Linked DNA regions of Ovis aries. The protein of the gene in region 1 interacts with the protein of each later gene in a biochemical or structural test. Links are inferred from orthologs where the notes say so. Each region holds a gene or a part of one and is shown in the gene's direction. Other genes may lie near its edges.

Region 1 (2,908 bases):
AGCCTCTGAGGCCCACCTGATGTCCTAAACCCAGGAGAAGTTCCTGCTTGGAGGCGTTTCTCCAGGGGGGCACTGCACTGACTTGAGGGGGGTGGCTCGGACAGGCTCTGGTCTGCTGTTGCCTCACTCTCCCTACTGCCCTGAGCGGTGGCCACCACCTGGGTGCAGAGTGGGCAGGACAGGCCCTGAACATCACCTGCCACCTGGGCACAGTGGGGAGGAGAGGCCCTGAGCATCGCTCGCCACCTGGGCACAGAGTGGGTAGCACAGGCCCTGAGCATCGCCCGCCACCTGGGCACAGAGTGGGGAGGACAGGCCCTGGGCGGTGGCCGCAGCTCGCCCAGCAGGCGGGGCCGTCGTTTCACAGCCAGCTGAGCCTCACCAGGCGTTGGTGCCTCATCTGTAAAGGCGGCTTTTACTTGCCCTTAATTCCCTCCTTCCAGGCCATGAGGGTTCCCAAACAAGGGCAAAGCAGACCAGCGGGAGGGAGGGAACCCCGTGGGCATTCCGCGTGTCAGTCCTGCTGGGTGACCAGCATGTTCCACCTGAAAAATGCTTCTCACTCACTTTTCTGCTGTAGCTTAGCTCCAGCACACAGCTTTCCTTTTGTTTGAGAGCCTGACAGTAATTTGTTTTATCTTTGCCTTTCTATAGGTGGACCCAAGAGCCATATCAGTGCTAGCAAAATGGCAGAATTCGTATAGCATCAAAGTTGTCCTGCAAGAGCTTCGGCGCCTAATGATGTCTAAAGAAAATATGAAACTTCCTCAGCCGCCTGAAGGACAGTGTTACAGCAATTAATCAAAAAGAAAAACCACAGGTCCTCCCCTGCCCCCATTCGATTTAAGCAGTCTTCATTTTCCACAGTAGTAAATTTTCTAGATTCGTCTTGTAGACCTCAAAGTACTGGAAAGAAAGCTCCCATTCAAAGGCAGTTTATCTTAAGATACTGTAAATGATACTAATTTTTTGTCCATTTGAAATATATAAGTTGTGCTATAACAAATCATCCTGTCAAGTGTAACCACTGTCCACATAGTTGAACTTCTGGGATCAAGAAAGTGATATTTAAATTGATTCCCATCCTAACCGGTGGGGCACGTCTAACTCAACTGTGAAAAGACACATCACACAGCCACCTTGCTGCTGATTCCACGGCCTGGGGTCTCTGCCTTCCCCCCTCCCCACTCCCTGCAACAGCCCTCCAGCTAGGCGTGGCTTGTTAGAGTAGGCGTGAAGGTTTCAGGTCACAGCCTGGGGGACACTGCTGGCGTGTGGGCTGCTCTGTCCGCATCCCTGGTCTCTCTCTAAGTCTTAAGTGACGCCCCTCTTCCAAGCCATCAATCCTCCTCCCCCCCCCCCCCACCCTCCACTGCCGCCCTTGGCCGAGGCATAGATTGTAACCCCTCTGCTCCCCTCTGAAATTGGCCTTTGGTGAGGAATTCAGGGCTTTCCCCGTATCTTCTCCCCCCACCTAAATCGAGGGGTGCTGCTTTTTCCTTCCTCCTCCTCAAGTCCCTTTCTGCACCACCAACACCCAACACTTCCCATGACGCTTCCTTGCTTTGGCCGGAAGCCATCAGGTAAGGTTGGAAAGAGTCTCTGACCTCCCCTCATTTAGTCTTGGAACCACAATTTACTCTCCACCAGCCTGGGAAACGAATATTGGGTTCTCAGCCTTGCCACCCTCTGCTGTCATCGTCAGCTGATGCGTTTCTTTAGCTCAGGTTTCGATAAGGTGAAAAGAACAGTCACCAGGGTTACTCAGGCCTGCCAGCTCGCGGCCTCCTTGGTGGTTAAACTTGGAGGAAGGCCACTTGGAAGCACACACGACCCCTCGGAATGAATTGTCCTTTTCCTGTAGAGGCTTTGGCTTTCTAACATGGAAGAAGCTTTACACAGGGCTCTCACTGGGCCATCCTTTGAGTCCACTCGGGTCTGGTTCGGAAGCTGACAACTGGAGCGAAAAGAGCCTTGAATCCGGTGCATACTTTGGTTTGGGTGCTGCTGCTTCTCCCGGCCCTCAGCAGGGGTCACGAAAGACCTCGGTGTGCACGGCAGACCCCCGAAATTCCTGGCGAATCGCTGCATTTTTCCACTTTTCTGTTCAGGACCACTAAATGCTGAGATGTGGATGCCTACCGAAATAAAATCAATTCATTGTGCTCCAAGGGTTTTTTTTTTTTTTTTCAGTGTCTGTGTAAAACCACCTTTTGAAGCAGCAACTATCAAGTCTGAAAAGCAATTGATGTTTCCATTAATCTTTTTCTGGAGGAAACCTTAGTTCTAAGGGTTTAACATCCTGTAAGTAAAGTTTAACATAACAGTATTCCATAAGCAGTCTTTTTATTGTCAGACCATTGCCTGATTTTAATATAATAAAAAGAAGTGTGCGTTAATATTTAAGAAGCTGTGCTCTTCTTCCTCAGCATATAATTTATTCAGGATTAGAATTGAATGTCTTAGATGCTTTGGTGTTCAATTTGACTTCCAAAAGCAGGGGTTGGGGAACTTTTTCTACAGTGGGTTCAAATTAGTAAACATTTAGGCTTTTTTTTTCCATCTGGCTTGTGAGATCTTGGGTTGTACCCAGGCCCTCAGCAGTGAGGGCAGAATCCTAACCATTCTTCAGCCAGAGAATCCCCAACTGTTTAAGCTTTATTGGCCAAGAGGCAAAATCAAAGAAATTATGTGTGTGTTTATTTAACGAGAAAACAAAATTTCCACAACTTTTGGATGAAATTCAAAATATCATAATTGAGTACAGTTTTTTGTAATGGTAACAGGTACACTGAGAAGAATGGAATGCTTTTTTTTATGGGGTAACGTAATTGGGATTCAAAGTTAGCATCCCTGTTACCAGATCAGTTGCAGACGCTCCTCCGTATAGATCATTCGTCATTTGAGG
Region 2 (3,750 bases), on another chromosome or scaffold:
CTGGGCCTGGGGCTGCTGTCCCCAGCGACTCTCCTGTATCATGTATCTGGCCGTCGGACCATTTCATGGATAAGGACACTAACAGGCCAGGTTCCGCCAGCGACCCTGCCCGGGGGTGGTCCAGCTTTCCCGACTAACCCGAGGCGGTAGCCGGGCCCACGCCACGGAGGGCGCACAGAGCCATGACCGCTGCGTGCATGTCTGGCAGGAGGCGGAAGGCGGCGGCCGAACGCTGCACCACCAGCTCCGGAGAGTTGGCGGCCACGAGTTGCTGCAGGCGCGGTCGGAAGCGGCCCCTCTGTGGCCAGGTCGGGTCGGGTGTCACGGGTGGCGGCCCTCGCTGGGAGGCCCCTCAAGACTGCCACGAGGGTGAGCCCCCTGGGAAGCCCCACCCACGTGGCTGTGCCGCGCCCCAAGTGGGAAGCCTTACCGCCAGTTTCCACGCCAGCAGCCGCTGCAGCTCGTCTAGTGTCACGTGCTTCTCCGCGCGGGCCCCGATGGCCGCGGGCAGCTCCTCTCGGTACCTGGGGGAAGGCGGCGCTACGGAGTCCGGGCCACGGGGCTCGGCCCGCCCGCCCCTGCCCCCTCCGCCCTACCACCGGTCCAGCGCTTCCAGCCGCCCCTGGGGGCCCGCGCGCGCCCGCAGCACCGCCCCGCGGCACTCCAAGACGGCGGCCCAGCGGCTTGGGTCCTCACAGCTCCAGAGCCCGCCAGCCGCGGCCATCTCCCCGCGCCAGGCGAGGCCTCGGGGGCGGGGCGTCGGAGCGCGGCCGGGCGGGCGTCTGCCCGGGTGACCCAGCGCGTCGCAAACCTTGACGCCGCGTCGCGTTGCCAGAGTCCCCCTCCCTGCCGGCCCCGCCCCCACAGCGCGCCGGGGGCACGCACGGCCCCGCCCACCCGTGCGGCGGTCCGCTCCGCTGGCCCCGCCTACCTGCAGACCGGAAGTTCCGGTGGCGGAGCGCTGGACCGAGCCCGAGCGGATCGCGGGCTCGGGCTGCGGGCGCAGGGCGGGCTGGGCGCGGAGCCTGGGAGCGGAGCCCAGGCGGTGCCGTGCGGCGCCATGAAGGGCAAGGAGGAGAAGGAGGGCGGCGCACGGCTGGGCGCCGGCGGCGGCAGCCCCGAGAAGAGCCCGAGCGCACAGGAGCTCAAGGAGCAGGGCAACCGGCTCTTCGTGGGCCGCAAGTACCCGGAGGCAGCGGCCTGCTACGGCCGCGCCATCGTGAGTGCGCCCGCGCTGCGGGAGGGGCTTGGCGTCCGAGCCAGGGGAGGGGCCGAGCTGCGGCTTCTGCCGCGCGCCCTCTTCAGAACATGTCAGGCCGTGCCCGCCAGACTTTCGGAGGGAGGGGGTGGGTGCTTGGGGTCTGGGGCCAAGGCCGCGCCTTTCCCGAGCCAGTGCGGGCTGCCAGAGAACTGTGCTGGGTGGGAACCGTAGGTGTTCGAGGCCCACTGGGCTGGGGACCAGGCATCCCTGCCCCTTGAGGAGTCAAACGCGATGCTGGGGATTTCCATGAGTCCGGGAAAACTACCTTCACAAGACTCATTGGAGTCCAGAGAGTGGGCTCACGTAGGCTTCACCCTCCCTCAGAACCCAGGGGCTTGGAAGCTGAGAAAATGCTAGTGTCTTGGTTCCAACCGCGGGCCTCAAGTTGGGACGGAGTGGGCAGGCTGAGCTCACTCCCTCATGCTGGCTGGCCCGGCCTTGGTCCCCAGACCCGGAACCCCTTGGTGGCCGTGTATTACACCAACCGGGCACTGTGCTACCTGAAGATGCAGCAGCACGAGCAAGCCCTGGCCGACTGTCGGCGCGCCCTGGAGCTGGACGGGCAGTCTGTGAAGGCACACTTCTTCCTGGGGCAATGCCAGCTGGAGATGGAAAGCTATGATGAGGCTATTGCCAACCTGCAGCGAGGTGGGCTTACAGGCTAGCTGGTTCCAGGGTGCCTGGGACCAGGTGGGTGGACTGGTTGAAGTTTACCCAAATGCTCTATCCCCCAGCCTACAACCTGGCCAAGGAGCAGCGGCTCAACTTTGGGGATGACATCCCCAGTGCTCTGCGCATCGCAAAGAAGAAGCGCTGGAACAGCATCGAGGAGCGACGCATCCACCAGGAAAATGAGTTGCACTCTTACCTCACACGGCTCATTGTGGCTGAGCGTGAGAGGTGGGCTCCCCCTCTTCGAGTCACCACTCTTAGGTTAACTCTGAGGTGTGAACACAAGTGTTTATTGAAGGCCAATTCTGGCACGCAGGAGATGGAGGGAAAGGGGCCTGAATGATCCTAAGTCTGGAGTGGAGTCTGACTGCCCCTGGCCAGACCCATCTCTGAACACCTTTTGGTCAACCCCCAGGGAACTGGAAGAGTGTCAGCGGAACCACGAGGGTGACGAGGACGACAGCCACGTACGGGCCCAGCAGGCCTGCATTGAGGCCAAGCATGTGAGGGTGCCCCAGCCCGAGTGTGGGTCCTGTGTGTGCGTGCGCTGTGATGTGAGGTGCCCTGGCTCCTGCTGGGTCTGTGTCTCGGTGTCTGGGGAGGGGAGAGGGGTGTCAGGCCCACAAGTGGCTGCTTGGTTCTTTGCAGGACAAGTACTTGGCAGACATGGACGAGCTCTTCTCCCAGGTAGACGAGAAGAGAAAGGTGAGCTGCCCGTCTTCTGGGGCCGGTGGGTAGCTAGAGCAGTGTCCCTTCCCAGCCCCTGACCTGATCCAACCCTGTGTGCTGCAGAAGCGAGACATCCCTGACTACCTGTGCGGCAAGATCAGCTTTGAGCTGATGCGGGAGCCCTGCATCACGCCCAGTGGCATCACATACGACCGTAAGGACATCGAGGAGCACCTGCAGGTGAGGGTCTGTGGGCGCTGGCAGCAGGGCCCACGCGCACTGAGCAGCCCCTGACTCTGCCCTGTTGTCACTGCAGCGCGTGGGCCACTTTGACCCTGTGACTCGGAGCCCCCTGACCCAGGAACAGCTCATCCCCAACCTGGCCATGAAAGAGGTCATCGATGCCTTCATCTCTGAGAATGGCTGGGTAGAGGATTACTGAGCAGGGTGGGTGTATGGGCCACCCACCTGCCTTGCCCGGTACCCTAGTTCAGGAGGGCCTTGGGGCAGCAGCCCCTAGTTTTCTGTATATAGTTTGTGTCCCTGGATCCCTACCCTGGTGTCCCCACCCCCACCCCCATCAGTTCTGCTGGGCAACACGCCTCTCATCCTCCTTCTGGGCCGGAAAGGGGGGGTGAGGCTGGGCTGGGCTGAGGCTGCTGCCACCACCTCTGTCCCTGTAATAAAACCTGTGAGTACTGCAGGGATGTGTGCTGGTGTGCGGTGGGCTTGCCAGCCACCCCCTTTGGCTAGCCGAGGAAGGTAGAGATGAAGACGCTGGTGTCGAGGTTGAGTGTGGCATGCCACCATCGGTCCGGGAAATACAGCACCTGGCGAGGGGTTGGGGGGACATGTGGGTTGATGGGTTGGATGGGGGTCCTTGGCCTGGCTCAGCCTGGCCCGTCTGCCAGCCACTGACCTCACCAGCCTGGATAGTGCATTCCAGGGGCCGTGCAGATGGTGTCAGGGCTGGATATGTGTCCTGGAGCCAGGCCAGTGTGGTTTTGTTGGGGTGGAATTCGGGTGTCTTCTCAGGAGGGTACAGGAACCAGCGCTGGGGGTTGGCGGGGAGCAGCAAAGTTATGCTTTGTATTTTGGTCAGTGAACCCAGAGTCTCAGCCTGCACCCTGTGCTGACCTTGCGGCCAT
Region 3 (3,650 bases), on another chromosome or scaffold:
CTAATTTGCTTCAAATGCCAAATGACCGTAGAATGGTCGACGTTGAATTCTTTGGCAATTTCTTGTGTAGTTATAAGAGGATCCGCTTCAGTGATGCTTTCAGTTGGTCACTGTCAACTTCTGATAGCCAGCCACCACACTCGTCATCTTCAAGGCGCTTGTCTCCTTTGCAAAACTTCTTGAACCACCACTGCACTGTACGTTCACTAGCAGTTCCTGGGCCAGATGCATTATTGATGTTACAAGTTGTCTCTGCTACGTTATGACCCGTTTTGAACTCGAATAAAAAAATTGCCCAAATTTGCTTTATATCTAGCATCATTTCTGTAGTCTAAAATAAATATAAACAAGTAATAAGTCATTAGCAAAAAAAATAAAGTGAGAAATGCACATTAAAATGATGTATAATAACATAGCCACATTTATTTAGGAATTTATTCCAGTATTAAAGGCAGAGTTCAACAATGCAGAACAGCCATTACTTTTGCACCAACCTAATATTCTTGGTCCCTTCCCACTGAATGCCATTTCAGCCCTCAAATCATTGTGATGGCCAGCAAACACAGCCGGCAAACGCCCCTTACACAGCTGACACTACCTCTGGTTAAGAACTACTATCCTAGGGAAATCTTTCTAAGCCTTGCTTCTGTAATTTCCTGTTGTGTACGTCTCTTCATGTTTTTACTGTCATACTTCTCATGTTTCATTGCTGGCTCCTTTGCATCTTTACTAGGCAGCAGGAATCTTAGGGATCAAAAATTGACTTTCTGCTTTTTCAGTTTTGGAGGAGTGTATAATGAGGTCAGGGAGAAAACTAACTGTTTAGTCTAGCAGTCATCTGGGATGAGTGCTTAAACCCTGACTTCCAATCCAGTGAGAATTTAACTTGACACAGCTCTGTATTCTCAATCTGAGTAGATCTCATAGTTTAAAAAAACACAGTTTATAATCTCAAAGTATACAAAACCTGTGTTTTTAAATCCCTTTAGCCTTTAAGAATTAATGGCCAAAGTACTAAAAAATTATTTCATTGAAAAGTCAGCTGCTTAATGTTGAGATAAAGTAATTATAGATTTTTAAATCTTTAAAACCATTTTGTCATGTTTATGAGTGCATCAATGTGTGGTAAAGCCTGCATATAAAGCCTGTTAAAGTGCATGGGAGTGACGTTAACTGTACTCTTGAGGTTCAGTTCCTCTACAGAGACAGGAGTAGGGAAGGACATATAAGCAGCCTTCATTATATCTGCAGTTTAATTTCTTTTAAAATATCAGAAGCAGAAATGGTATTAGTAAGAATGATAAAAGTTGGGTAGTTAGTACCCAGGTATTTATATATTCTTTTTGTATATTTGAAAATTTCACAGTCTTAATTATCTTAAAACTATGAAGACTTTATCATTACAGGTTAGCTACCAATTGAAACCAAGTAAAATTTCATAATACCAAAGTTCTAATTACGAAAGTGTTTTTTTGTTTTCATTTAGCCTCTTTGCTGCATATAATCATTCTTCTGTGTCTTTCTCTGTTTCTTTTACACAGCCTGTTTCCACTTCCTCTGTGCAGGTTTTTCCCCCTCTGATATTATCATCAACTCATATGCATAGAAAACGCCCGAAAACAAAACTGAGAAGTTCTTTTTAACAATGTTTTTAGTTTGGCATATGTCAAAAGTACAGTCATAAGCATTATATCCATTTCCTTTGGTATGTTTAATCATTCTATGAATTTTTCTGTATCTAGCCTAGCATATGGCAAATACTTGTCATCTATAGAGTCACAGAGTGGCTAGAAAAACCAGTTAACTTTGCTTATTTGTTAACTTTAAGCCTCTTTGAGTTATTAAATAAGATTCTTAAATAAATAATCTTGTCTTGCAAGATTTTGTGTTTTCTCCTTATCAGAGCAGTACTGAGTACTGCTTTCATTTTCTATCTGGGATTTGATTTTTAAGTATCTTATAACTTGAAATACTTATAATGGAGACTCAGATTTTACAATTTTTTTATACAGTGAACTTATGTTTTTACTCTGTAATTGCTTCAGTGCACAGATAGACCTCAGATATATTTTGGGATCAGTTTCAGACCACCACAATAAAGCAAATCACAACTGGTTTCATTTCCTAATATATATATAAAAGTTATGTTTGCACCATGCTGTGGTCCCCTAAGTGTGCAGGCTTCCCTGGTGGCTCAGAGAGTGAAGAATCCACCTGGTAAATAACCACCTCCATTTAGGAGACCTGGGTTCAATCCATGGGTCAGGAAGATCCCCAGAAGAAGGGAATGGCAACCCACTCCAGTATTCTTGCCTGGAGAACCCCAGGGATAGAGGACCAGGCGGGCTACAGTCCATCAGTCACAAAGAGTCGGATATGACTGAGTGACTGAGAACTAAGTGTTCAGTAATAGCATCATGAAAGTTACTCAGTTGTGTCCAACTCTTGCGACCTCATCGACTGTAGCCTACTAGGCTCCCCTCTCCATGGACTTTCCCACCATTGAGCCACCAGGAAAGCCCTTAATTTTAAAGTACTTTTAACGCTAAATGCTAACCATCATCTGACAATGCAGAGTTGCCACAAATCTTCAGTTTATAAAAAATTCAGTTATCTGTGAAGCATAATAAAATGAGGTCTGCCTAAATTCTTCTGTACTCCACTCACTCTAAGAAACCACTGTCACAGCAAAGGTTATGCAAGTTATTAATCTCTAAATTTCAGGGGGAAAATATGTCATACATGTAATAAATAGATCATTGTTTTTTAAAGAAAGAATAAAAACCTCTATTTTTCTTATTCTCAATTGATCAAACATTTTATTCAAAGTAGCAGCAGTGATGTCCTTGATTATGTATTAACATATATATTTTTATACGTCTGTGTATGGTTGAAATGAATACCAGCAGTGACATAAGAGATGTTTTGTTTTGTAATTATAAAATAGTTGACTTACCCTTGAAGCAATATAGTGGTATTTTTTTTTTAACTTTTGTTTTATGTTGGAGTACATATACTCCAATACAATGTATTAGTGTTGGGTGTGCAACAGGGTGATTCAGTTATACATTTATATGTATCTCTTCTTTCTCAAATTCTTTTTCCAATTACATTGTTATAGTATAATGAGCACAGCTCCCTCTCTTTTTTTTTTGAAAAAAAGGTTATCTTTTATCTATTATGGTTATCTATTTAGATTGATGTACCTGCTAATTTCTGCTATTAATCTTTTTTTTTCTTAGGCAATAAGCAATAAGGACCAGCATAGCATATCATACACCTTGTCTCGAGCACAGACAGTAGTGGTTGAATATACTCATGACAGCAACACTGATATGTTTCAGGTATTATAACATCTAAACTTTTTTTCTTAAAAAACAAAAAAAGGTTAAAAACCTGTTGTAATTGACTTTCGCTGTGGTCAGCTTAAAGGTTATCACACTTAATGCATTTCATTAAAATATATTTTGATTTCTAAACCCCATGTATAAAAGTCCACATAGCATGGGTAAGAGATGGGCTCTGATATCAGAATTTCTGGTAAACATTACTTAGCCACTCTCTGCATCAGTTTCCTCCTATAAAGTGAGATAATAGAACTTCCTTCAGATGACTATTAGGAAGCTTAAATGTGTTAGTCCCTCTGAAGT

Evidence for each region.
Region 2: the proteins of UBE2V1 (region 1) and STUB1 form a complex in vitro, tested with the Homo sapiens proteins (4 studies listed by BioGRID). The link is inferred for Ovis aries from reciprocal best matches to the Homo sapiens genes UBE2V1 and STUB1.
Region 3: the proteins of UBE2V1 (region 1) and PELI1 form a complex in vitro, tested with the Homo sapiens proteins (3 studies listed by BioGRID). The link is inferred for Ovis aries from reciprocal best matches to the Homo sapiens genes UBE2V1 and PELI1.

Annotation. Positions count from the first base shown.
Region 1 is NC_056066.1:78,130,823-78,133,730, reverse strand, and holds the end of UBE2V1 (ubiquitin-conjugating enzyme E2 variant 1), read left to right. Parts: intron 1-654; coding exon 655-801; 3' UTR 802-2,406; downstream 2,407-2,908. UniProt on the Homo sapiens protein: Has no ubiquitin ligase activity on its own. The UBE2V1-UBE2N heterodimer catalyzes the synthesis of non-canonical poly-ubiquitin chains that are linked through Lys-63.
Region 2 is NC_056077.1:1,118,213-1,121,962, forward strand, and holds STUB1 (E3 ubiquitin-protein ligase CHIP), read left to right. Parts: upstream 1-1,060; coding exon 1,061-1,219; exon of another isoform or gene 1,220-1,225; intron 1,226-1,710; coding exon 1,711-1,909; intron 1,910-1,995; coding exon 1,996-2,161; intron 2,162-2,202; exon of another isoform or gene 2,203-2,348; coding exon 2,349-2,436; exon of another isoform or gene 2,437-2,581; coding exon 2,582-2,638; exon of another isoform or gene 2,639-2,725; coding exon 2,726-2,842; exon of another isoform or gene 2,843-2,918; coding exon 2,919-3,044; 3' UTR 3,045-3,305; downstream 3,306-3,750. Other genes in the region: uncharacterized protein LOC101103616, read right to left, coding at 139-298, 431-524, 932-1,062; JMJD8 (jmjC domain-containing protein 8), read right to left, coding at 3,352-3,432, 3,522-3,656, 3,740-3,750. UniProt on the Homo sapiens protein: E3 ubiquitin-protein ligase which targets misfolded chaperone substrates towards proteasomal degradation.
Region 3 is NC_056056.1:44,196,873-44,200,522, forward strand, and holds part of PELI1 (E3 ubiquitin-protein ligase pellino homolog 1), read left to right. Parts: intron 1-3,242; coding exon 3,243-3,344; intron 3,345-3,650. UniProt on the Homo sapiens protein: E3 ubiquitin ligase catalyzing the covalent attachment of ubiquitin moieties onto substrate proteins. Involved in the TLR and IL-1 signaling pathways via interaction with the complex containing IRAK kinases and TRAF6.